Linked DNA regions of Notamacropus eugenii. The protein of the gene in region 3 purifies or fractionates together with the protein of the main gene of each other region. This does not show direct contact. Links are inferred from orthologs where the notes say so. Each region holds a gene or a part of one and is shown on either strand. Other genes may lie near its edges.

Evidence for each region. Proteins that work in one complex are often made in the same cells at the same time.
Region 1: the proteins of EPB41L3 (region 3) and HSPA12A purify together in Homo sapiens (affinity purification with mass spectrometry; 4 studies listed by BioGRID and IntAct, with this or other methods). This does not show direct contact. The link is inferred for Notamacropus eugenii from reciprocal best matches to the Homo sapiens genes EPB41L3 and HSPA12A.
Region 2: the proteins of EPB41L3 (region 3) and PNN purify together in Homo sapiens (co-immunoprecipitation; 3 studies listed by BioGRID and IntAct, with this or other methods). This does not show direct contact. The link is inferred for Notamacropus eugenii from reciprocal best matches to the Homo sapiens genes EPB41L3 and PNN.

The regions. Positions count from the first base shown.
Region 1 is NC_092872.1:196,119,475-196,127,252, forward strand, and holds the start of HSPA12A (heat shock 70 kDa protein 12A), read right to left. Parts: upstream 3,004-7,778; 5' UTR 1,875-3,003; coding exon 1,835-1,874; intron 1-1,834. UniProt on the Homo sapiens protein: Adapter protein for SORL1, but not SORT1. Delays SORL1 internalization and affects SORL1 subcellular localization.
Region 2 is NC_092872.1:331,960,995-331,968,826, reverse strand, and holds the start of PNN (pinin), read right to left. Parts: upstream 3,004-7,832; 5' UTR 2,855-3,003; coding exon 2,742-2,854; intron 1,771-2,741; coding exon 1,699-1,770; intron 850-1,698; coding exon 781-849; intron 1-780. UniProt on the Homo sapiens protein: Transcriptional activator binding to the E-box 1 core sequence of the E-cadherin promoter gene; the core-binding sequence is 5'CAGGTG-3'. Capable of reversing CTBP1-mediated transcription repression.
Region 3 is NC_092875.1:238,189,392-238,196,484, reverse strand, and holds the start of EPB41L3 (band 4.1-like protein 3), read right to left. Parts: upstream 3,001-7,093; 5' UTR 2,737-3,000; intron 1-2,736. UniProt on the Homo sapiens protein: Tumor suppressor that inhibits cell proliferation and promotes apoptosis. Modulates the activity of protein arginine N-methyltransferases, including PRMT3 and PRMT5.

The sequences.
Region 1 (7,778 bases), on a different chromosome or scaffold from region 3:
ACTTTTCACTTTGAAATAAGTAAGTTGTAAAAAAAGTTCCTAAATCCCACTAAACCCCCCCCCCCCATTTTAATTACCCTCCCCAATAAGATGAGCTGTTCTTCATTAAGAGACAGTACTGGACTTATGATTTAATTGTTACAGAGAACTCCTGAGTGAGGAAACTCCCTTTACCAACCAGGTTTGCACCTTCACTGTAATTTTTAATCCTGAGTGAGCTCTGAGAGGCTAAGTAACTTGTCCAACACAACAAAGCCAGTATATGTCAAAGAGAAGCCTAGAACCCAGTTCTTTCTGGCTTTGAGGCTAGCTCTCCATCTACTACACCAAGAGATCTCTGTCACTGTGTATCGTCCTTTCAAAATGGAAGCCATCTGTCTCTTTTGCTGAATGAGCACTGCAGTCCTGCAACCACTCTAAACCTCCAGCATTCAGCTACATACAAGTTACAGTCCTACCCCCACAGCAAGGACTCCCCTCCCCTGACCCCACACACCTAGAGCACTTATTCAGAAAAAGGTCGTCATTACAATGTTCTCTGAACCACTCAGAACAGATCAGACCCATCTGGAGATAGATCTGTGGTACATTCAAATGGTGCAGGTATATGGGGGAGGATGGAGGAAGGAGGGTAGAGTGAAGGAAGGAGAAAAGAAAGGAAGGAAAGTGTTAGAAATGAAAAAGGGTGTAGGGTAATCCACTTTTTCTTTCACTATTCAGAGCTCTAACATTTCTTGCCTCTGTCCCATGCTCCACTACCCTCCCCTTCTTTTTTTCATCTTCTGGAAAGATGAGTCTGGAGAAAAATGTGTGGCTAAGGGTAACTATTTGCTACAATCTGCTACTTATGCTCGGGAGAGACTATATTATAAGGTCTCTTCTCCAGCAAATTCTTTAGACACTTCCGTGGCTTCCAGGAAGCTAATGAGTCCAGAGGTGCGTGGGGGTGGAGGTGGGTGAAGGGTGGATAAGAGAGCTGCCTTGGACCATGGAAACCGCCTAGTAGGGGAAAGGTGGGTTACTCTCGCTAGTACAGGCAGACATAGAGCCCCAACCCAGGGAGGGCGCGTGGGAACAAAATGAACTTGGGGAGAAGGATGGGGCGCAGGATCTTCCTCCCTCATTTTTTTCCACCTAGATCACTTCGCCTGCTGCATTGCCGGCCTTTGGGAGTCGCGTGTGCTGTGTGCAATCCCGCGGCGTCAGGCAAAGCAGAGTGGAGCAGTGGGGGGCAGGGAGGAGGAGAGCCCGGCGAGGAAGCCCCCTGGGCTCTCGAATGGGAGGAGGGGGGCGGGGTGGGGGACTGCGGTCCCTGCTGCAGAGTCTCCTCCGAAGGGAAGGGAACACGTGACAGATCTGGCCTCTGCTTCCCAGTGCCGGGCTCCCAGATCCCAGCCCCAAAGCTTAGAGAGCCCAAAGACCGACCCGAGCGTCTCCCTTCCCTGCGCCTCTGGCAAGAGCCCTGGGGAACTGGTGGGATAGAGAGGGAGGATCACGGGGGACGTTTCCAAGCTAGTCAGGACTCCAGCCTGAATTAGGGCTAGACTACCCCCTCCCCATCCCCGTCCGCTCCATCTCCAAGCCTCCAACCTGGATAGAAGGATGGAGAGCCCGAGCACTAGGTGGGGGATCCAGGATGCGGAGGCAGGGGATGCTGACAATGCTCCAGCTCCACCCACTACGCCCCTGAGGGCCGGCCGGCCGCCGGCTGCTCCCTCTGTCCCTCCCTCCCTCCCACCCGCCCGCCTGTGTCCTTGCTGCGGCGCTGGCCGAGGTGAGATTCCCGGTGCCCGTCCCTGCCTGGCCAAGTAAGCGAGCGAAGGAGCGAGCTCACCTCTGGGCCCCGCATCGCTCCCGGCTTCCTTCTCCGACATGGTTGCGCCTGACCCGCACAGCCCAGAATGAAAAGCTTCCCAGCCAGCCCCGGCGTTAGTCCGCGGCTTCGCTCCTCGGCTCGCAGCTCACTCTGGGGTCCGAGCCATTGGGCAGTGCGAGGCTCTGACGCGGAGGCGGCGGCTCCTCCTCCCCGCCTCCTTCCTCCTCCTCCTCCTGCCTCCCCCCGCCTCCCGCTCCAGCTCTGGATACTGAAGCCTCTGCGTCGGTCAGAGGAGCGGTCCCCAGAAAGTCCCTGCCTCCCACCTCCCAGTTCTCGGAGCCAGAGGGAAGTCTCAGTGTCTGACCCTGGAGCTTTAGGCCCTTCTTCCCCTCCCCTTGTCCTCCTCTCTGCAGGGCCCCTCCCATTCCAGATTCTTTTTCTCTACGCAGCTCGCCCCGCACCCGGTCCCCACCCCGCGCCCGGTCCTTGATCCAGAGACCCTCTTGGCTAAGATCTGTCTCTGACTCCGGATCCCACCCAAGGCATAGAGTTCCTTAGTGGGTGCAGAGACAGCAATCTGACGGACTTCGTAATTACTGTAGCTTTCTGTTGTCAGAAGCTGAAACTCTTAAAGATAGCTACGCGCTCCGCATTCTGATTCCGGTCAGGAAACCCTGACGCTTGCTATATTAACCCTGACTGCAGTCTCAAGTTCAGTTCCTCCTCAAGCAGTCCCAATTACGTTTTCCCCTCACTTTGGGAACCACAGCCTTGTCAAGAACCAGAAGGCCCTGGCGTTTTAAACCAAACGGCACCCAAAGAGGATATGTCTAATGCAAACCTATGACTTTTGTCGCCAATGAGGGGAAAGAGAAGCATTAAATAAAGAGAAGACAAATACGTAGGAGATAAAAATGCAAAAAAGAAACGGAAATTCAAGCTGCAGATCAAGGTGGGGATAGATCTCAAAGGACCCTTCTAACTTAAGATTCTAAAATTCCGTAGAATGAAAACGTACTTTCTTGAGACCATCGATTATGCAGCTACTTTGAGCCACCCAATAGTCCAGAAATAGAAGCTCTCTCTGAATGTCAAGGCAGTGCCTGCAGTACTCAATCTGGTGCTGGGCTGCCTGAATATAGCTTCGACTGTAGGTGTTGTGAATAATCCAGAATAAAAAAACTCCATAGCAACTGTTTGCCCAAGTTTTCTTGGATGCCGCATGCTACTTTCCATATGTGGGTTCAGATTCGGTCCCTCTTAAAGCTCCAAGAATAATGATAATGGTATTGCCAGGCCTCCGTAATGAATTCATTAATCCACATGAACCATTCCCCCATCCAACTTCTTTACAAACCTAACTGTTGACCCTGTTTTGTACGGATGGACCAGTCACCTTATTAGTTCCTGACCTTTTCTATAACCATCAACCTTTCTGAGGTAAGGTCCAAATAGATGCTTTCTCAGGGTCTTGTTCTTGAATTTTGAACTTGTGGGATACTAGGAATACTTATGGGGCAAGTAAGGCCAGCTGGTGGAAGTGAGAGATCTTTAGCAAGAACCCAGCTTTACCTCTTTGAATTAATGCCTGAAGGAATAGAAGGAATGATTCCCCAAGGTTATAGCCGTAGCCGGAGTATGTGTTCGTCCTTCCTTGCCGAAGACCATGCCATCAGAGAAATAATGACATGACTTGCACTTGACTTTGTTTTGAGTGCGGAAGGTCTGTGCAGGTCACTAGTCTCACTTCTCCTCCAGAGCCATCTGAATCCAGTGGCAAGATATTCATCAGGATGACTTGGAGATGACAAGATGAGGCAATCGGGGTTAAGTGACTTGCCCAAGGTCACACAGCTAGTGAGTGTCAAGTGTCTGAGGTGAGATTTGAACTCAGGTCCTACTGACTCCTGCACTGGTGCTCTATCCACTGCACCACCTAGCTGCCCCTCTGGGGCTGGAGAAATTAAGACTAAATTGCATAGGTCTTTATGCAGTTTTTAATATGGAAAGAGTAGGTGAAGGATAGCTTTCCCGACTTTCTCTTTCTGACTGTGAATCTACTTGTTCTGATCAAGTATCCCTGGATTTGATGTCAGAAAACATTCATTCAAATCTTGCATCTCATTTAATAATTGCATGGTTTCAAACATGGGCCTCAGTTCCTCCTACTGTTAAAAGAGAAAACTGAATATCACCATTTAAGAGGTCCTTTTTGCCAGCTCTAAATCTCTGATCCATGTTTTGTGGGCAAGCCAATGTCCTCCCTTACATACAAAATGGGAACCCATTGCATCTTGTAGCTTTCAGCATCTCTCACAGGAGAAAGTCAGTGGCATCTCTTGATCACTGTTACCTACAGAGTAGTTACCAAAAATCATTCCTTATTGCTGGAGCACCCAGGGTCCTTAGAGACAAGAACTAAAAAAATGTTGAACGAGAAGAGAACAAAGTTGTGAGAATATGGTTGAATATCTGAATGTGACTTAAGGATGAGAAAATGTACAGCAAATGTTGGAGACAGAGCCCTAAAGGGGGAGAGGGATTGGAGTAGAGGAAAAAGAAAGAAAGCCCTTCACTAATGCTCTGTTTTCCCTTTGAAGAGGAAACCTGAGTTTGAAAAAAGTCATTAGATTTTTAGTTAGAGGACCCAGATTCAAATGCTGATGGTGTAGCAGCTAGGTGCATAATCAGGGGTGCTACATTTGGAGGCAGGAAGACCTAATTTCAGATTCCACCCCAGATACATACTACATATGTGACCCTGGGTAAGTTACCTAACTTCTCTCTGCCTCAGTTTCCTTATTTGTAAAATGAGAGCCTATCCTGCAAGAGTGTTGTATGATCAAATGAGATAAACTTTTAACACATATAAACGTTTTTGTTGTTTTACATACTTTAAAGCACTAAATGATGATGATGATGTTTCTTGCAGGTATTTCTGAGAAAAGGAAGCCTTGGAGATTATCTGGCTCAACTCCCTCATTTTCCAGAGGAGGAAAATGAGGCCCAGAGAATTTAAAGGACTTGCCCAAGGTGACACAGCTATTAAGTGTCAGAGCTAAGGGACTCAAACCCATATCTTCTCATTTTGAAGCTGGTACTATTTCTGTTATACCTGGATTAAGTCCTTTAATTTTTCTGAGCCTCAGTTTCCCCACCTGCAGAATCTGGGGTATGACAGACAAGAGCATCCTCACTTCATTATCGAATATTTACTGACTGCCTACTTTGTGCAGAGCCCTCACTTCACTGGACAGTGAGGCCTAGATGATCCCTAGGGTCCCTTTTAGCACTAACATTCTATTATTTTACCCCATAACCAAGCCACATCCCTGTCTGCCTAGCAAAGCCATTTTATATTTGGCAGCTTATAAACGTAGCTGAGATAGGCAGGGCTTGACTCTCAGGGACAGCACATACAAACATAAAGAAAGTCTGTTTGACAGCTGCCTAAATGATGTCCAGCTGGAAATAGTGCTGCCCATCTCCAGTGTGACTCCAGAATACCAGCGGCAGGGTTCCATCCTCACCAAGTGCCTACAACTCGCATTAATGTTAAGAAAAGTATGAGTGAATGGAGGCTGAGAGGTAGGGGATGGGAGTACAATGGATGACCTTTGGTCCTCAGGAGAGTAAGAAATTAACAGCTTCATTTACAGTAAAACAGAAAAGGCAACACCTATTCTGTGTTTGATTTGTAATATGCAGCCTCCATGAATGTCCTCATACATCAAAGCATGTAACTTAACCTTTTATTTTCTCTCTTCATCCTCAGAACTTACCATGGTGCCTTCCCTATAGCAGACAGTTAATAATTGAATTGAATCTCATTTTTTTTTTAAAGCTTCTCTTAAATTGGAGTTGACTCAATGCATTGGGCATGGGAGCAGATGACTCCACCTCACTCTCACTTTTAAACAGTTTCATCCAGAAAGCAGTTAAGGAAACAAAGTACTGAACTACTGGATTCTGTTCTCAGCTCTTCTGTCATGTGACCCTAGGCAAATCACTTCAGTTTTCTGGGTCTTGGTTTTTACTCATAGAAGGAAGATTAGGATACCTGGCCTCCCTATCACAGGGTTATTGTGAAGGTCAAATGAGATAACCCATTTGTGAAACTACCAAGTGCTATGCAGATATGCTGCACCATTATTATGTCCAACAGAACCTCTTCTGGCCAGCTGCTGAGCCACATGTTAACCACCAGGAACCTCAATAGTACCATACTTATCCTGCTGTTAAAGTTCCCTTTACTGCAGCATTAAGTGTAGATCCAATTCTGAATTTCAATAGAGGAAATTTTAGGTTGACTGATACTTCAAAGTGATTTATACTCTGAGATATACAGTACTTGGAGTTCTGCCTATGAACTAAGTATTATGGCAAGTGACCCATTTATAAGAGACCTAATAAAATGAGTTTTACTTTTAATAAAATAAGATTGATTTAACAGGAATGAGATGAGCACAACATGCAAATACAAAAAAACCTTTCAGGGGAAAAAAGCAATAGTTCGTATTTATGTAAAAGTTTAAAGTTGAGAAAGCATTCTTTTAACAACATCTGGGTAAGGTAGGTAATGCTCTTATTCCCATTTTAGAAACTCAGAAACAGGCTACATGTCTGTAAATGGCTTGCTAATTACAGATCAAAATTCTAAAAATAAAAAGAGCAGCTGATAAATTTTTGACTTGTCTGAATGATTGTTTCATTATTCAAAAGCTCGAGCAAGCCATGAAGAAAATAATTCTGAACCTGATGCTGACCACTGTGAAGGTATTGGTTGCCAAAGTATAAATAGAAGGACTCTTGGGAGAAGGAGACCACAGAATCTGACAGTACATGGAAGAGAAGGGAAGGCAATGCATAATCTCACATGTATACTAAATCTGGGGATGGCAGATTTCCAAGAGTTCAGGGAAATAACAGATGCAATCCCATGACCTAAATTTCTTCATGGGAAGTCAATTCCAAAAGATGGGATGCTCTGAAGAATGAAATTCTTGTGGCATAAACAGAAGTTGCTACGATGAGCAACGAGGAGGGGAAACTTTCTAAAGACACTTATGTAGGTAAATGTGAGCTAATCAAACCCACTTGGATTTTTAAAGGCTACATACAGAAGGGAGAAGCAAAAGGAAGGAAAATGGCCCAATATTATAATGTAAGGGATGCTAAAGACCAGCATTAACTTAGGTTGGCAATGAATAGTAAGGACAACAAAAAGGATATTTTTTTCAATTATATTAAGGACAAGAGAAAGATCAAATAAGGCACACTATTGCTGCTTAGAAGGAGTAAATTACAAACTGAAGAGAGAACTTCAATACTTGTTTTTTGCTTTTGTTATTGATGCCACAGAGAATGGTTTTCAGAATGAAAACTATGGAACAAAATTGATCAATAATTGAAACCCATAAGTTAAGAGATGGTAAGAAGGCCCCTAGTCACGCTCAAGAGGACTTCAATAGAGTGGATGAACTACAGTATCAGAACACTACGAAACGTTATTGACATGATTGCTGAGCAATTGTCAATTATCTTTGAAAAATCACAGAGGATAAGAAAATTGCCACAGAACTAGAGATGAGGAAAGAATGCCCTGATGTTCAGAAGGGAGTAGGGGAAAAGTAGATTATTAAACTATAAACTTGTGAGTAAGCTTGACTTTAATTAATAACACAATTGCATAACACACCATTAAAAATGATTAGTAAGAACTTAAAAAGGCAGGGTGAAGCAAAGATCACGAAGAGCTAGTATGGATTCAATCACAAAACATGTCAAACTAATCTTGTTACCTTTTTTTTTAAGTTACCAAACATTTAGATTAGGGGATGCCGTAAATAAATTATATAACAAGACATTTGGCATCTTTTATTGCGGTTGTTGTTCGGTCATTTCAGTCATGCCCAACTCTTTGTGACCCCATTTGGGTTTTTCTTGGCAAAGATACTATAGC
Region 2 (7,832 bases), on a different chromosome or scaffold from region 3:
AAGAAATATTTTAGATATTATATAAAAATGAACTGGAAAAAATAGCCTTGATAAATTCATGAACAACCATTACTATCTACAAATTACTTTATCACTCAGGCCCAATAATCAGAAATTTTAGGGAAGCAATAGAAATTCAAGTCAACAAACTTAAATAAACTGATACTGAGAATCTGATATTGAATACAAGGTAATGGAAATGAGGTGACACACTTGAAGCTGGATTCCCATACTGAGAATAGTTCAACCAAGAAAGCAAAAAAGTAGGTAGGGGACAGAAGCACTGGAAATATTTACGGGTTTTTTCTTAAACATTTCAGTTTTTTCACGGAGTACATAATTTAAGAGGTCTAGAATTCTTAAGGAATCCTGGCCAGAGATTGCCTGTCTAGGCTCACTTAGACTTTTAAGTCTTTAAAGTAGCAAAGGCCCTCAACTCCTTTTGATCAAATCCAAACTTCACAGAACAAATCCCCTTAATAAAAGGATTTGTTCTGTAAAACTTGGACTCAGTCAAAAGGCCACACCTGAGGACCTATAAGGTCATATGTGGTCTGGAGACCACAGGTTCCCAGCTCCTGGTGTATACTATATAGTCAAATCACCAAGTAATAACAACAGCTGCTATTTATTTAGCCAGAATTACAAAGGCTTTACATACGTTTCATTTGATCTTCAAAACAACTCTGATAATACCAGATTATTGAGCATCTATAACTGAATGAAATTGATTTTGTATCATATTTCAAGAAAATGGAATCTACAATTACTGCCACATACCTACTGACTGCCCCTTCAAGGTCTCTCTGTTTGGCTGGGGGTCCTCCTCCACTATCTGAGAATCCACGCCTAAAATGGAAAAATATCAAGACTTTATCTTAAGGGGGGAAGGGGAGGGTGTATACACACCAGTTTTTACAATGAAATTACAAATAATCAGTTGAATACATTATTTTAAAAATATCCTTAGAATGAACATACCAAAAAAAAGCCAAAAGAGTGCAGTAAGAAAGTCCTTACATAAGGTGAAGAATAATTAATTCTAGAATGCTAGATCTCTCCCTTACCAAAAGATGGTGGTGGAGAACTCAAAGACCTTAAAATGACATATATTTCCTCTTAGCTATTTCCATTTCTCATCAAACTTAATTTGTTATGTAACAGAATTTAAAGAACTAAATTTTACAAGTCCCAATAACACACAAAAGACAGTTCCAAAATTCAAACATATTGAAATACTTGAAATATTTAACCAGTGTTAGTACTTCTGAAAAAAAAGGTTTAAAAAACCCCATCTAAATTTTAATAAGTTGTATGTTAAACTCTAAGCTAGTGTTTTAAAGACAAGAGGTCTAAAAAGTGCTCAAGGTACCTTCAATAGTTAAGATAACATAAGAGAATTTTAAAGGTGAGACTTAAAGTATAAAGGATAGGGACTATACCAGTGATTTCACAAAAAACAGGAATTTCCAGGTGAGGAAACTCCCTCTATTAATGCAGGTTGGCATCTTATCTACAATTTATCTTCTTATAGAATTTTCTAGAGAGCAGTGAGGTTTAAGCAATTTGAGTAAACCAGACTTAAATTTTTTTTTTTTACATCAGAATCCACCATGAATTTAAAACTTTAATGGCTGTTATTTTTTTATATGACTTAGTAAGAAGTTCAGTTCAAGAGAAATGAGAGGTGGCACTTACCTTAGCAATAAACTACCACGACCCCTACCTCCACCAGGGCCTGAGAGAGCGAGCAATCGAGCTTGGATGGGTCTGTAAAGAGAGTTGGGAATTGGTATACTGTGAAACAACAGCTTATACATGTAAAAGAACCACCGAATCAACTGTAAAAGGAAATAAATTTTAAACAAGGAAAATCACTTAAGTAGACCTCTTAAACGTATTCGGTAGATGTTGGTGATTTTTAGATTAAGGTTACCCCATTAAGTATTTTCTTACAGATGTTAATTAGAAAGAAGTACGGGCTCGACACAACCTCAAAGCCCCCCAAATTCCCATGTCGGGTTGGCCTAGCCAAGTCTGGTTTACAAATTCACGACAGTTAATATATCACTCCCCCCATTCGTGATTTATACAGGCCAAGAGTGGAGGTGAAACGTCCGAAATCTCCTTTATACACAAGGGCTGAGTAGAAACATACCAAACTCTTCTTCATACGGACATGTATACACACATATATTTACATATACATATAGTAAGGCCAGGGAGGAAAATAAGACCCTGCCGCCAACCTGCAGGGAGGAACAGGAAGCCAAAACGTGGTCTGGAGGCTTCATCGTGGAGCGCCCGAGCTGAGCGGTCCGGGGGCCGCCGGGAGTGCCTCCGCCTGGGGCCAGGAGGGCCGAGGAAGGCCGTGAGCCTTTGCGGCGAGCTCGCCGGGGGCTGCAGCACCTCGTGGGTTAGCCGGGCTGGGAGCGGGAGGCAGGGGCACCGGGGCCCGGCCTTTCCGCAGGCCTCTCCGGCTGCAGTTCCCACACGACCCGCGTTCCCCTCACCACTCCCCCTCCCCTGAAGACCACGAGACCAACGCAGGGCGGCGACGGTGTCTCAGAGCCGCCCCTGCCCAGGGGGAGGCGGCCCTGCAGTCGCCCCCCCGCCCCGGTAAAGGTCCGGCTGCTCCTGCCCTCTCCCGATGCGGCCCAGGGTTCGCCGCCTCCCCTGCCCCCACTTCGCCCAGGCCCCGCGTCCTCAATGGCGCCGAGAGCCCTTCAGGGGAACCTCACCTCACGTCATTAGGGTCCCTGCCGGTGAGCTTCCGGATATTCTCATCCACATTTTTTAAGCTCTCCTTGGCTTTTTCCAGCTGCTCCTGCAAAGTTCTCACTGCGACCGCCATCTTCTCCACCCGTGGCTGGTGCGGAGGCAGCTCTCAAGCCAGGTCGTCCCGCGTCGCGAGATCAGGCCGGGAGTGATAGTTAGAATTAGCCAATCAGGAGCGGGGTTGCTCTCGGCCGTCGGCCACTTAGAGACTTCAGGGGCGGAACTAACTCACTTACAGAGACTTGACCAATAAATAAAGCCACAAGGCGGCAACCTGTGCAGCCAATGGGGTGGCTTCCTTTTGGGAATAGTGATGCGTGCAGAGTTCGGGAGGAGGCGGGGCTGGAGGTCTTTCATTTACTGGAGGGCGGTATCTGCCAGAGCTTGTAGGTTTCAAGTTCACCAAGTCCCTTCTCCTTGTCCTCTGTAACATTTCATGTGAATGGGGGCTATTTTTATGCATTAATGGGGAGGATGGAAGGAAGAATGGGATGTGACTCAGACCTCCACATCCATCCCTCATCTCCTTGCTAAGCTTCATGCCAACATTTATGTTTCAGCAGCGTGCTGGGCTCCCCAAGGAAAAGAAAGAGAAAGGAAGAGAGTACCTGCCTTCTCTCACACAGAGAAGAGGAGCTCTTATGGGCCATGACCGTGTCCACGTGCCCGTGGGCTTTGGGGCTGACTCAGTGCCAGCCTCCATACCTTCATAACTTTCTGCCATGACTGTCCGTTCATTAAAATCTCAGGGTTCAAAAGTCGTCTAGCGGATATACTCTGGAACGTTATCAGAAATGACCAAAATTGCAAAGACTCACAAATTGGCCTTCACGCTAGACTAAAATCAAGGAAATATCTTGTGTTGTGGGCCTCTCAATCTTGAATCAACTTATGGACTTGGACAAAATTATTGCTAATGGCTACATACTTTATTAGTAGTGTGAAGCAACATGAAGGTAAACCAAATCCACCCCATTTGGGTTTAGTGCTTTGATTACTTTCACTTTTTTTGATTGAATCAGAACTGTGTGAACAAGGCCTGTAGACCTTGGGTGAGTCACAAGGCCATTGTGTGAAAGACTTGGGTCATACCCTAAGCACTGTTTATTAAAGGGAGAAACTACTTTTAAATTGGGGAAGAAGACATTTTGTTTGGATTCAAGAGGTTGAAGGAAGGATGGAGCAAAGAGAATTCTGAACTATGGCGGAGAAGCATTGAGTAGAGAATATATTAATCTGAGAATATATTAAGTAGAATCCCTGAGTTCTACAGGCAGCACAGAGAGGAGGATCCAGGCTGAGAGAAGTTCTAGTAAAGGATGAGATGTTTCCCCAACTTCCCTTCCTAGTTCCTGATTCTCCAAAGACATTCTATAATCTGTTTCTTACCTAAATGTTAAATTTGGGTAAATTTAAATTATTGTAAATTAAATTTTTCCTCAACCACAAATATGGCAGTGATTAACTAGAGACAGATATAAATGTAAGGTTTGGCAGAGTACCTAGCCTCCGCTTAACACTTTAGTAACTTTTCCTGAGGTCTCAAAAAAGCTTATGACTGAATTCAGAACTTTTCATCCAAAGTAAATTCCCTAAAACTGAGCTAATTATTACAACAGGGTGTTACATGAAGATAAATATATACAACAAAGTATATAAATCTGCAATGAGACTCACAGTTAAAGTCACCTCTCCTCCACCCTACTCCCAGCTTGTGAAGGTGGGGGAGCCACTAAAAAGCAAAAGGTTAAAATTTAAACTTTTGAGTGAAATTTTCCCAGCATTATGCTGTAGAAAAAAAATGTGAAGAAACCACTGACTCCACTTCTACTCTTACCAATTGCCATAGTTGCCAATTCAACATGGTCTCAACTCCTCCTACTCTCTGATCTATATGCTTATCTACTTATCTCATTCCTACCTCTCTGTTACCCCCAAACTTAAGTAGATGTCTTTTCCTCCAGGATACTAGACTGAGCTCTCCTGAGTGCCTATGAATAGTCCAGCCCTAGGATGCTATTATCACAGGAAGGTCCTCCTAATTCTCCATGATCTTAGAGAGATTTTCCAAAGGTTCTGTGATCCTAGAAAGGATCTCCAAATTCTCTGTGATTCTAGGTCTTAGCAATTTGAGGTTACATAAGTTTATATAAAATATATACATATAATGATACTTCTGGCACTGGTCCAGGGTGATTCTTTTCATCCATCAAGGGGTTCCTAGCTCTAGAACCATATATACAAGCCAAGTTCAGTCCTGAGATGATCCTGACCTCTAAAGAAAGAGGCTAGACTCTTTGCCTCAAACTTTCCAGTTCTTTATACCTCACTTTGTACCTTGTGGGAAAATCACTTAAAGTTTTGGTTTGGCTTTTCAAAAAAGAGGAGAACAGGGCTGGAGCCAAGATGGCATATTAGGTGCAGCAAACCAGCTGAGATCTCCCAACATTCCCCTCCAAATAATTTTAAAATAATGCCTCAAATAAAATTTTGTAGTAGTAGAGTCAACAAAAGGTTAGGGTGAGACACCTTTTCAAATCTTAGGAAACATAAGTTGTTGGCAAGAAAAGTCTGTAACACTGGGGTAGAAGCCTGTCTGGAGCCCACACACACAGTGATGGCAACAGCAGCAGCTTTGGGAGCTCTCAGCCCAGAGACATAAAGAGGGTCAAAGGACTGCTCAGAAAGAAATCAGAGGGACCCTTTGCTGGCTCTAGGTGCAGCTAGTGCTGATTGGCAACTCTATTTTATAGGTAATTCTGGTTCACAGTTCCAGAGCAGAGAGGAGTGCTGGAAGTCAGACACAGTGGAGCAGGTGCCTAGGTCACATAGTTTCAAAGCAAAGAGGAACATTAGGCTTGTAACTGCAGGGGACCATGGACTATTCCTGGGTAAAGATCAGAGCCCAGACCAGGGGAACAGTGACCACACCTTTCCCAGGATCACACCAGCTTGAAAGTAACAAAAACTTGTAGAACCCTAGAGCTAGCTCTAAAAACAGCAACACAAAAAAAAAAAGCCTGAAGCAAACTCCAAGGCCTTCCCACCTCCAGATAAGCAGGGTCCAATTTTAACCTAAAGTTCAAAGCCAGGAAATAGGCTGGAAAAATGAGGAAACAACAGCAAAAAAGAATTTAACCATTAAAAAACTACTACAGAGGCAGGGAAGACCAAGCCATAAACTCAGAAAAAGCAATGTGAAAACAGCTACCAAAAAAACCCTCAAAATAAAAAAATGCTGATTGCCCCAAACCAACAAGAATTCCTGGAAGAGTGAAAGAAAGAGATAAAAGTGGTAGCAAGGAGGAAAAGAAATGAAAGTGATCCAAGAAAGTTATGAAAAGAGAATTAACAGTTTGGTTTTTGTGTCTCTTTTGAGACACAAAAAATACTAGAGAAAATAACACCTTAAAAACCAGACTTGGCCAAATGGTTAAAAAAAAAAGCACAAAAGTGCACTGCAGAGAAGAGCTCCTTAAAAAGCAAAATTGGCCAAATGGAAAAAGAGGTACAAAAATCTCACTGAAGACAATAATTCCTTGAAAATTAAATTTGGGCAAATGGGAGCTAATGACTTCAGGAGTCATCAAGAAACAATAAAACAAAATCAAAAGATTGAAAAAATAGAAGAAAGTATGAAATATATTATTGGAAAAGCAACTGACCTGGAAAATAGATCAAGAAGACATAATTAAAGAATTATTGGACTACCTGAAAGCCATGATCAAAGAAAGAGCCTAGACATCATATTTCAAGAAATTACCAAGGGAAACAGCCCTGATATCCTAGAATCAGAAGGTAAAATAGAAATTGAAAGAATCTGCCACCAATCACTTCCTGAAAGAGATCCCAAAATGAAAACTCCCAGAAATATTATAGCCAAATTCCAGAGCTTCCAGGGCAAGGAGAAAATACTTAAAGCAGTCACAATTCAAATATTGTGGAGCTACAGTCAGGATCACACAGTATTTAGCAGCTTCCATATAAAAGGAGCAGAGGGCTTGGAATATGACATTCTGGAAGTCAAAGGAGCTAGGATTACAACCAGGAATCACCTACTCAGCACAATTGAGCATAATCCTTGGGGGGATGGAGGGGAGGGAAGAGAGAGGAGGGGGGGAATGGATATTTGGTGAAATAGAGAATTTTCTAGCATTCCTTATGAGAAGGCCAGAGCTAAGCGGAAAATTTGACTTTCAATCTAAGACTCAAGAGAATTATAAAAAGGTAAACATTAAAGAGTAATCATAAGGGGCTCAATAAAATTAAACAGTTTATATTTCTATATGAGAAGATGATACATGTAACTCCTAAGAACTTTATCATTATTAAGGCATTATTAAGTCATAGGTGTTAGCTGATTATATTGGAATTAGGTCAAAAAAGTTAATCAGGAAAACTACATTTTGCTGAAAGATAACATAGACAATGAAGTAATATCAAAAAAATTTTATAGCAAGTTTCTCTGATAAAAGACTCATTTCTCACACATATTGTGTATAGAATTGAGTCAAATTTATAAAAATAAGAGCCAATTCCCCAACTGATAAAAGGCTCAGGGATATAAAGAGGCAGTTTTCAGAAGAATAAATTCAAGTTATCTACATTCATAAGAAAAAATGCTCTAAATCACTATTGAATAGAGAAACGCAAATTAAAATAACCCTGAGGTATTACTTCACACCTAGAAGAGTGACAAATGCTGAAGAGGATGAGGGAGAAATAGGTACATCACTGAACTGCTGCTGTAGTAATGAACTGGTCCAACCATTCTGGAGAACAATTTTGAGCTATACCCAAAGGGCTATAAAACTTTAACCCATCAATATTACTATTAGGTTTCTATCCCAAAGAGAGTAAAGAAAAAGGAAAAGGACCTATATGTACAAAAATATTTATAACAATTCTTTTTGTAGTGACAGAGAATTGGAAATTGAGGGGATGCTCATCAGTTGGGGAATGTCTAAACCAGTTGTGGCATATGATTATGATGGAGTACTATTGTACTACAAGAAATGGCAAGGGGATGGTTTCAGAAAAACAAAGGAAGATCT
Region 3 (7,093 bases):
CTGAGTTTCATTTGTGTGCATTGTGAAATATACAATCCCCAATCCTTCTCCCCTCCCCACTCTCACCCCAGTGAAATTCCAGATTTGGGTATTAAGAGGCCTGATTGGAATTCTTACAAAGCCTATCAAGGAAAATTTAATAATCACTACACCCCACTTCACCCTCATTCATTAACAGTTCTCCCAGACTGCTTGCTTTTGATCAAATAGAATTCAGATTTAAAGCAAAATTTGATTTGGAGTTAGAGTTGTTTCCACTTGTATTTTTTATGTAGATTCCATCCTCCTCTGGCTGCAATAATAAGGTTTGGTTCTTTCCTAATCCAATGCACTTCAAAGTGTATTACATGTGAGCTGTCAACCAGCCCTACTCAATGTTAATCCATTACTCAAACACCTGATTTCATAAAAAGAAAGTGACAAATAGAAAGCCTGGAAGCATAGAAGGATCACATCTTGAAGATTATTGAGCTTTGCCGTTTTACACAGAAACCTTCGGTGTTCATTACAAATCACAGTTTCTCATCCTCCAACCTAATCTAATAAATCCTCCAGGTTCATGTTTTAGCTGCTTGGAATGCCCACTCCAAAATCACCTCCTTATCACCATCAGCCGGTGCAGAAAGGTCACCAGCCTGAAAGTAGCCTGGCAAGCTTACAAAAAGCTTTTCCAGTTCTCCAAAATTAAAAGATGAGGTTGGTAGTAATGTTGTCCCTCTGAGCTAGGGGAATTTCAGAAGGGGCGACTGGCTGCTGAGTGCTGCTGCTGCGGTGGCTGCGACTGCAGCTAGTGAGGGCTTTGGCTCATACAACCAATCAGTCCTCTCTCCCCACCCCCTCCCCAGCACATAGATTTGCAGATCCACTCCCTAACTTTAAACGAAACTCAAATCTTTCCTTATTAATCGGCACATGCAGAATTTCTAGCTCTGACTTAGGTGTGATATGAGTGAAAGCAACTAGATCAGCCTTATGCACCCTTGAGGGTTTCGTTTTTACTCCTGTTTTCCTCTACCTACTTATTTCTGCTCGAACTGCTGAAGGTTAAGTGCCCAGGCGAGGGAAAAGGTATGGCTCAGCAGCATATTCCTTCCATCAAGGAATCCATTAACTTAGGCAACACGACTACCTCAGTCCCTTAGCTGCAGGGCAACCACTGGGTTCTTCTTCGGGAGAAAGCAAGTCCCAAAGCAAGGGAAAGATCTTAATTCTGAGAAAGGAACAGCGCCCCCCTACCCGGTCCCCTCTGGGCTTCTTAAATACATATTGCTATTCGTTTGGGGGGAGAGAGGGTGGGAAGATGTATTTCACAAACCTGCATCACTGGCCATTTCAACGTTAACTATAGGGGAGTTAAACCTTATCTTAAAGAATAAGATCGTCTTATCTTTAAAAAAAAAATCCCTTGGTTCTCCTCCCCCATTCCCCTTCCCCGCCTCCTACCAATTTATTTTTAACCAGGATAATGCTTATGCTTAAGGAAAAATAGAAGAGAAAAAAAGATAAGAGAAGATTCAGAGCTGGAGCTTCTAGGAATGACAAGATGATGGCCACACGCTGCGATGAGTGGCAGAGTCCTAGAGATCCCAGCAGAGAGAACGAATGGGTTCCCTGTGCCTTCATTTTCCCAAGAAAACACACACACACACACACACACACGCACACAGGCACACGCACATGCGGGAGCGCAACTCTCCCACATATCCTGAGCTTGGATGCTCAAGGTGGATAACTAGTACTACCTTTAGGCAAGAACTGAACGGCTAAGGGAAAGAAAACGTTCAGATGTAGGACTAGAATCCCTCCTCTTCCTATACCTCATACCAAGCTTTAAAAAAAATTAAAAACGTAACAAGGTTCGCCCCCCTTCACCCCGCGCCATACTTCCATCCCAATCTTGCCAAGCTCCCAGCCCAACAAGGTCTGGAATCTGAGATTCTGTTCCATTGACATCCAATTTAGGCTACAAGGGGCGCTCGCCTACATTCCCAACGCACCCCTCCCTGCGGCGCAGCTCCAGGCGGCCAAGAAGTATGGTACCTTTCCTCTAACATACAAACTACATGACGGCTGCATGATAGCCGACTCCCCAGAGCCCCGCTGAACTCTATGGGGAGGCGTTGAAACTGCAGGAAGAGAAGGGATAAGGCAGGGAAGAGCGAGCTTGCAAGCTAAGCCACTTCAAGTGTTTGCAAATCAGCATAAGTCATAATTCAAATTAAAAACAAAACGCAGAAGCAACCAGAAAGGAGGGTGTGAAATACCGGGAGGAGAAGTTGCCAAGTCGAAACACAGGACCTTCAAAGGCTCCTCCTTTGGGGAGATTAAATATTTCTACACTTTCGCTGTTCACCGGCGCACATCCTCTTGGCCATGGAGGAGCCAGCCATGCTGAGGCTACATGCTGCGGCTGTCTATAAAGGCTTGCAAAGAGAGGAGCCTGTCCACCTTAAAAAAAAAAAAAATCCCCTGCCACCTTAAACAGCACCTCTATTTCTGTCCCTTGCCTCCACAGGGACGCCCGGGAGTCCGGAGCATTCTGCTCCCGGGAGCTGGCTAAGTGGCAGCCAGACTCAGCGCCTTTAGCCCTGGTCCATCACCCTTTCCCCATTGACCTCAAGCCAAGGACAGGCGTGGGAGGGGGGGTCCCTCCAGCTCAGCTTGTGTCCCAGCCTAGCAAGCCCTGGACTAGAACTAGGAACCAGGAGGTCAGCATGGGGGGCAGAAATGCCTCACCTGAGTTCAGAAGGCTCCTTCCTCCGTTGCCTCCTGGAGCCTGCTTCCTCCCACTAAATTCAACCTTCCTCAATGGAAAAAGTAGTGCAGAGTAGAGAGGTGGGTCTGCTCGCAGGTCCCTAGGCAGCAGATCTCTTTCTCTTTTTGTACTTTCCCGGTTTCGATCTCCCAGTATTCTGCTAGGATGGACTTGCGGCAGGCTCTGGGAGCGAGCCGAGGAGACCAGGAGCTTCCGCAGCGGCGGCGGCGGCGGCAGCGGCACCTCTTAGTGCCCACCTGCAGCGCGCACAGTCCTGGGAGAGTCTGACAGCCCGCGCGGCTCAGCCTCAGCTCCGGCGGCTCCGCCCCCGGCTCACCCACAGTGCCTCCCAGTTGGCTGTCCCCATCATTCCAGGCGTTCCCTCATTTGGGGGCCTCCCCTTCCCTCTCTTCTGCTTCTCCCTACCTCTGTGCAATGAACAGCAGAAGTGCTGTTCTTTCTCACTGCCTCGCCAGGGTTTAAATCAGGCGGGATCTCAGAGCTGGCACATTTGAGAGGAAAGAGAATCCAGCTCCCGCTGTATTTTTTTTTTTTTTTTTGCAGAGGTGAAGATAGTGTAGGGTGTTGGGGGTGGGGGTAAAAGGGGCGGAGAAGAAGGGAAATGCACAGAAAATATACCCTTATGATTTTTTAGCTAAGTGCCTGCAACCCCTTAAAAGAGTGTCATAGCAGTCAAGATTTGGGTGAACTGCTATGCACGCAATTTTTTATTTCCATCTTAAAAGAAGGAAGGCGAAAGATGACAGGGAGAGAAAAGAGAAGGGAGGAAGGGAGAAACAGAAGATTCCCGCAATTTACAAATCATACCTTTGTTGGATTAAAATACAGAGTTTTAAGATGGGGTGCGGGGAGGCGGAGGGGAAGGAGAGGGAGAAGCTCCAGGAGAGAAGTGTGGGAACCGCATTGTATTTGGAATGAAGAGATTTGGATTTGAATTCTGGCAGGGTTTCTTATTTAGTTGCGACCTTGAACTAATCATTTAAACTTTTTCCGGTCTAAATTTCCTTAGATCATTTAAATTAGAGCTAAAAGGGACCTTAAGGATTCCATTGTTCAACTTAATTTACAGAACAGGAAACTGAGGCCTTTGAAGAAATCTTTTCCTGCTGCAACTCTAATTCTTTTAAGAGTCGCATGAACTTAAACTTCACAACAAGGAAAGGAAGATAAATTTCACCTTTCACTCCCTCATCCAAGGTCATGACGGTAGTGAGTGGAAGAAGCAGAATTCAGGGATTAGAAGACTTTCTGAGGCCAAACTTTCCTCTATCCCCACGCTGCCAACTGACTTCCTGTGTACAAGGAGGAAGCTAACCAAACGCATTGCCAAGGGCCCTTCCTCAATTCTATGATCCCTTTATCTTTTCCTAGAGCAGCATTATTGCTTTGGGGAAGCATCAGGTATCAGCACTTAGTTAAAAGGTGCTTAGCATTGCACTTAAAATTGCTGCTTTTAGACTGGGAGTAGGAATGAAGACCTGACCCTCATATATAGTTAGCTTCAGAGCTAAAGACCTGTAATAAGGGCAAAACAGGTACTCTAGCCTAGCTAGAGCTTTTTAAAATAGACACATACACATTATGTCTTAGTACAAACTCTTGTACCAAATCTTTGTACCCAAAACCCAGTTTAAGGAAACATGGAGTTCCTGCCAAGACTGGAAAGCCAGCCAGTTTAATTGAGGGGAGATGCTTGCAAAATGAAGGGGCCATCAGGCAGGATGGACACAGGGCAGGTCTCAGATCTCAGATGGAATGGGGCATCATCTTCCTAAACCAATAAAGTGTGGGAAGGTTTTGGTTTGCTTGTTTGTTTTTATAGGGCTTTTATCTGGGTCTAGTAGGGCCAGGAATTGAGGGAAGGGAGCAAAGAACCTGGGCCCGGAGACTGGAGCTGATTCATATTTCTGGGGGAAGGGAAGATTCCTGAGAAATAGGGGGTTAGCTGATGTCCAAATTTTCTACTGAAAGGAAAAGGGGTTTTCCACAGTTAATGTTGCTCTTATTCTAACAGGATGATTCACCTTCCTTGTCAGGAGATTTTGAGTATTCCTCAGGCTTTTACAGAGTGGGGAAGCTACTGGGGTCATTCCAATATACATATGTATGCACAAATCTATGTATGTATTTGTATATATATATATATATAAGTATATGTATATGTGTGCATATGTAACACACACACACGTATATATGATCCTTGTCAGCTTAAGCAAACTAAGAGACATTTCCTAGTGACTTCCCAAAACACCCCCACTAAACCTCCCCAACTAAAATGTTTGGAAAGAAAGTTTATAGATTTCCTATTCCATTGATTTAAAACATTCAGTATCTTTTACCCCACAGTAATTCTGATGAACTGTCTTGTTGAGTGTTTCTGCTAAACTGAAGGGAAAAAATGGAAATGATTTAGGAAGTCACCTGAATTCCCAGAAAGTTCCCAGTTTCAGGTGCTCTGAAGTGAAATAAGAGCCATTTCCAGGCATCTCTTAGTTTATTAACATGATAAAAATCAACTGTGCAACCAAGCATGTTTTATAGGCCATTATGGAAGTGCCCACAATTTGAGCCTGCAGGTATAGCATATGTAAGTGAGCTAGAAACATCATTAACATCACTAAGAATGACTAGGCAGTATGTTAAGCAAGCTCAAGCCAGACTCCATGTCCCAGCATCCTTCTAGCTTCTATATAGAGAAGGCAGGAAACAGGCAGTTTCTAACAGCCTGGCACTGAAGTGAGGAAGGCTGTAGGCTTAAAAGGGAACCAGTTGCATGCACTTCAGATACAAATCAGGTGCACTTGGCATATGGCATACCTTTGTAGCTGTTAAGTAGCTTGGAATATTGCTTTATAGTCACAGTTTGTAGCATTTTTAGACAATTGAGAAGAGCAGGTGTCCTCCTTTGCCAAAGGGCACTTCTTCAGAACAGGTTTCCTATACCTCTGAAATCACCCGTCTAATCCCACTCCCCTCCCCTCCCATTCTCTGCCCCCATTGTTTTAGTTTGCATTGATTTTTTTTTTTTATTCCTGTGCCTCATGCCTGAAATGTTCTCTTTCCTCATCTCTGCTTCAGAGCATCCCTAGATACCTTCCAATCTCAGCTCAAGTGCTAATTCCTATAGGACTTCACCCCAATATCCACCACCAGCCCAACCACAATTACTGGTCTCCCAGTAGAAGTTATTTTTTATCAATCAATGAGGGTCCTGCATAATAAGCACCATTGTACCAAGAGCTAGAGATTTAAAAGCAGAATGGAAACAGACCTTGTTCTTGAAGAGCTTACATTGTAGCTGGGGAAATTGGTTGGTTGTTGTCCTTTCTCAAAGAAGATCAAAATGACATCACTATGTTAGAATCAAGTTACAGTGAGTTCCACTGTGGCTGATCAGACCAATACAAGCTCAGAAGGCTCTACCGCAGGTTGGGCAAAAATAGTTCATATGAACATTTGGGATGGAGATGCTTCTAAATTTGCATATCTCACATTTCTTTTGAGCTACTGCAATCCTGCTTTGCTCATAGAGAACAGAGCCATCTTTGATGTGGGCACATCATGCTGGGTGGTCCTTTGCCAGCATCTCCCATGTCACACAATCAATACCAAAGCTCTTCAGAGAGACAACTCATACATACAAAGATAACCCATACATAGATAGGTATATTCAAGATTCCAAGGAAACCACAGAGAGGAAAGCACTTAGGGACATCTTAGGTGGTACAATGGATAGTGTTAAATTTGGAATGAGGAAGACCAGCATGCAAATCTTGTGTCAGACTAGCCATGTGGCCCTGTGAACAAGTCATTTAACCTCCAACTCAGTTTCCTCATCTGTAAAATGGTAGTAATACAGGTTGTTGTGAGGATTAAATGAGATAAAATTTGTAAAGTGCTTTGCAAACCCCAGGGCAAATTGCCACGGTGTGAAGGATTGGAGAGGGGAGAGATAAGGCAGGGAGACTATGTAGAAGACTGTTGCAAGCCTTTGTTACACTTCTCTTGTTGAGAAGCAATGAACGCCTGAACTAACATCAGAGCTACTTGCTAACTATTCTGTATTTAATTTTCTGTGTACATATTGTTTTCCCAAATAGAAGGTAGGTTCATGACGTCAGTGACAATCTCATTTTTGTCTCTATCCCCAGGGCCTAGCATGGAGCCTGGAACATAACATGTATTCAATGAATGCTTGTTGAATGAATGAAACAGGGAAAGAAAAGTTATGCAACATAACAATCCAATTCAAGAGGATTAAGGAGAAAATGCTTGTGTCCCATCGGCCAAATGCTCATTTAAGTGTGCTTTCACCCT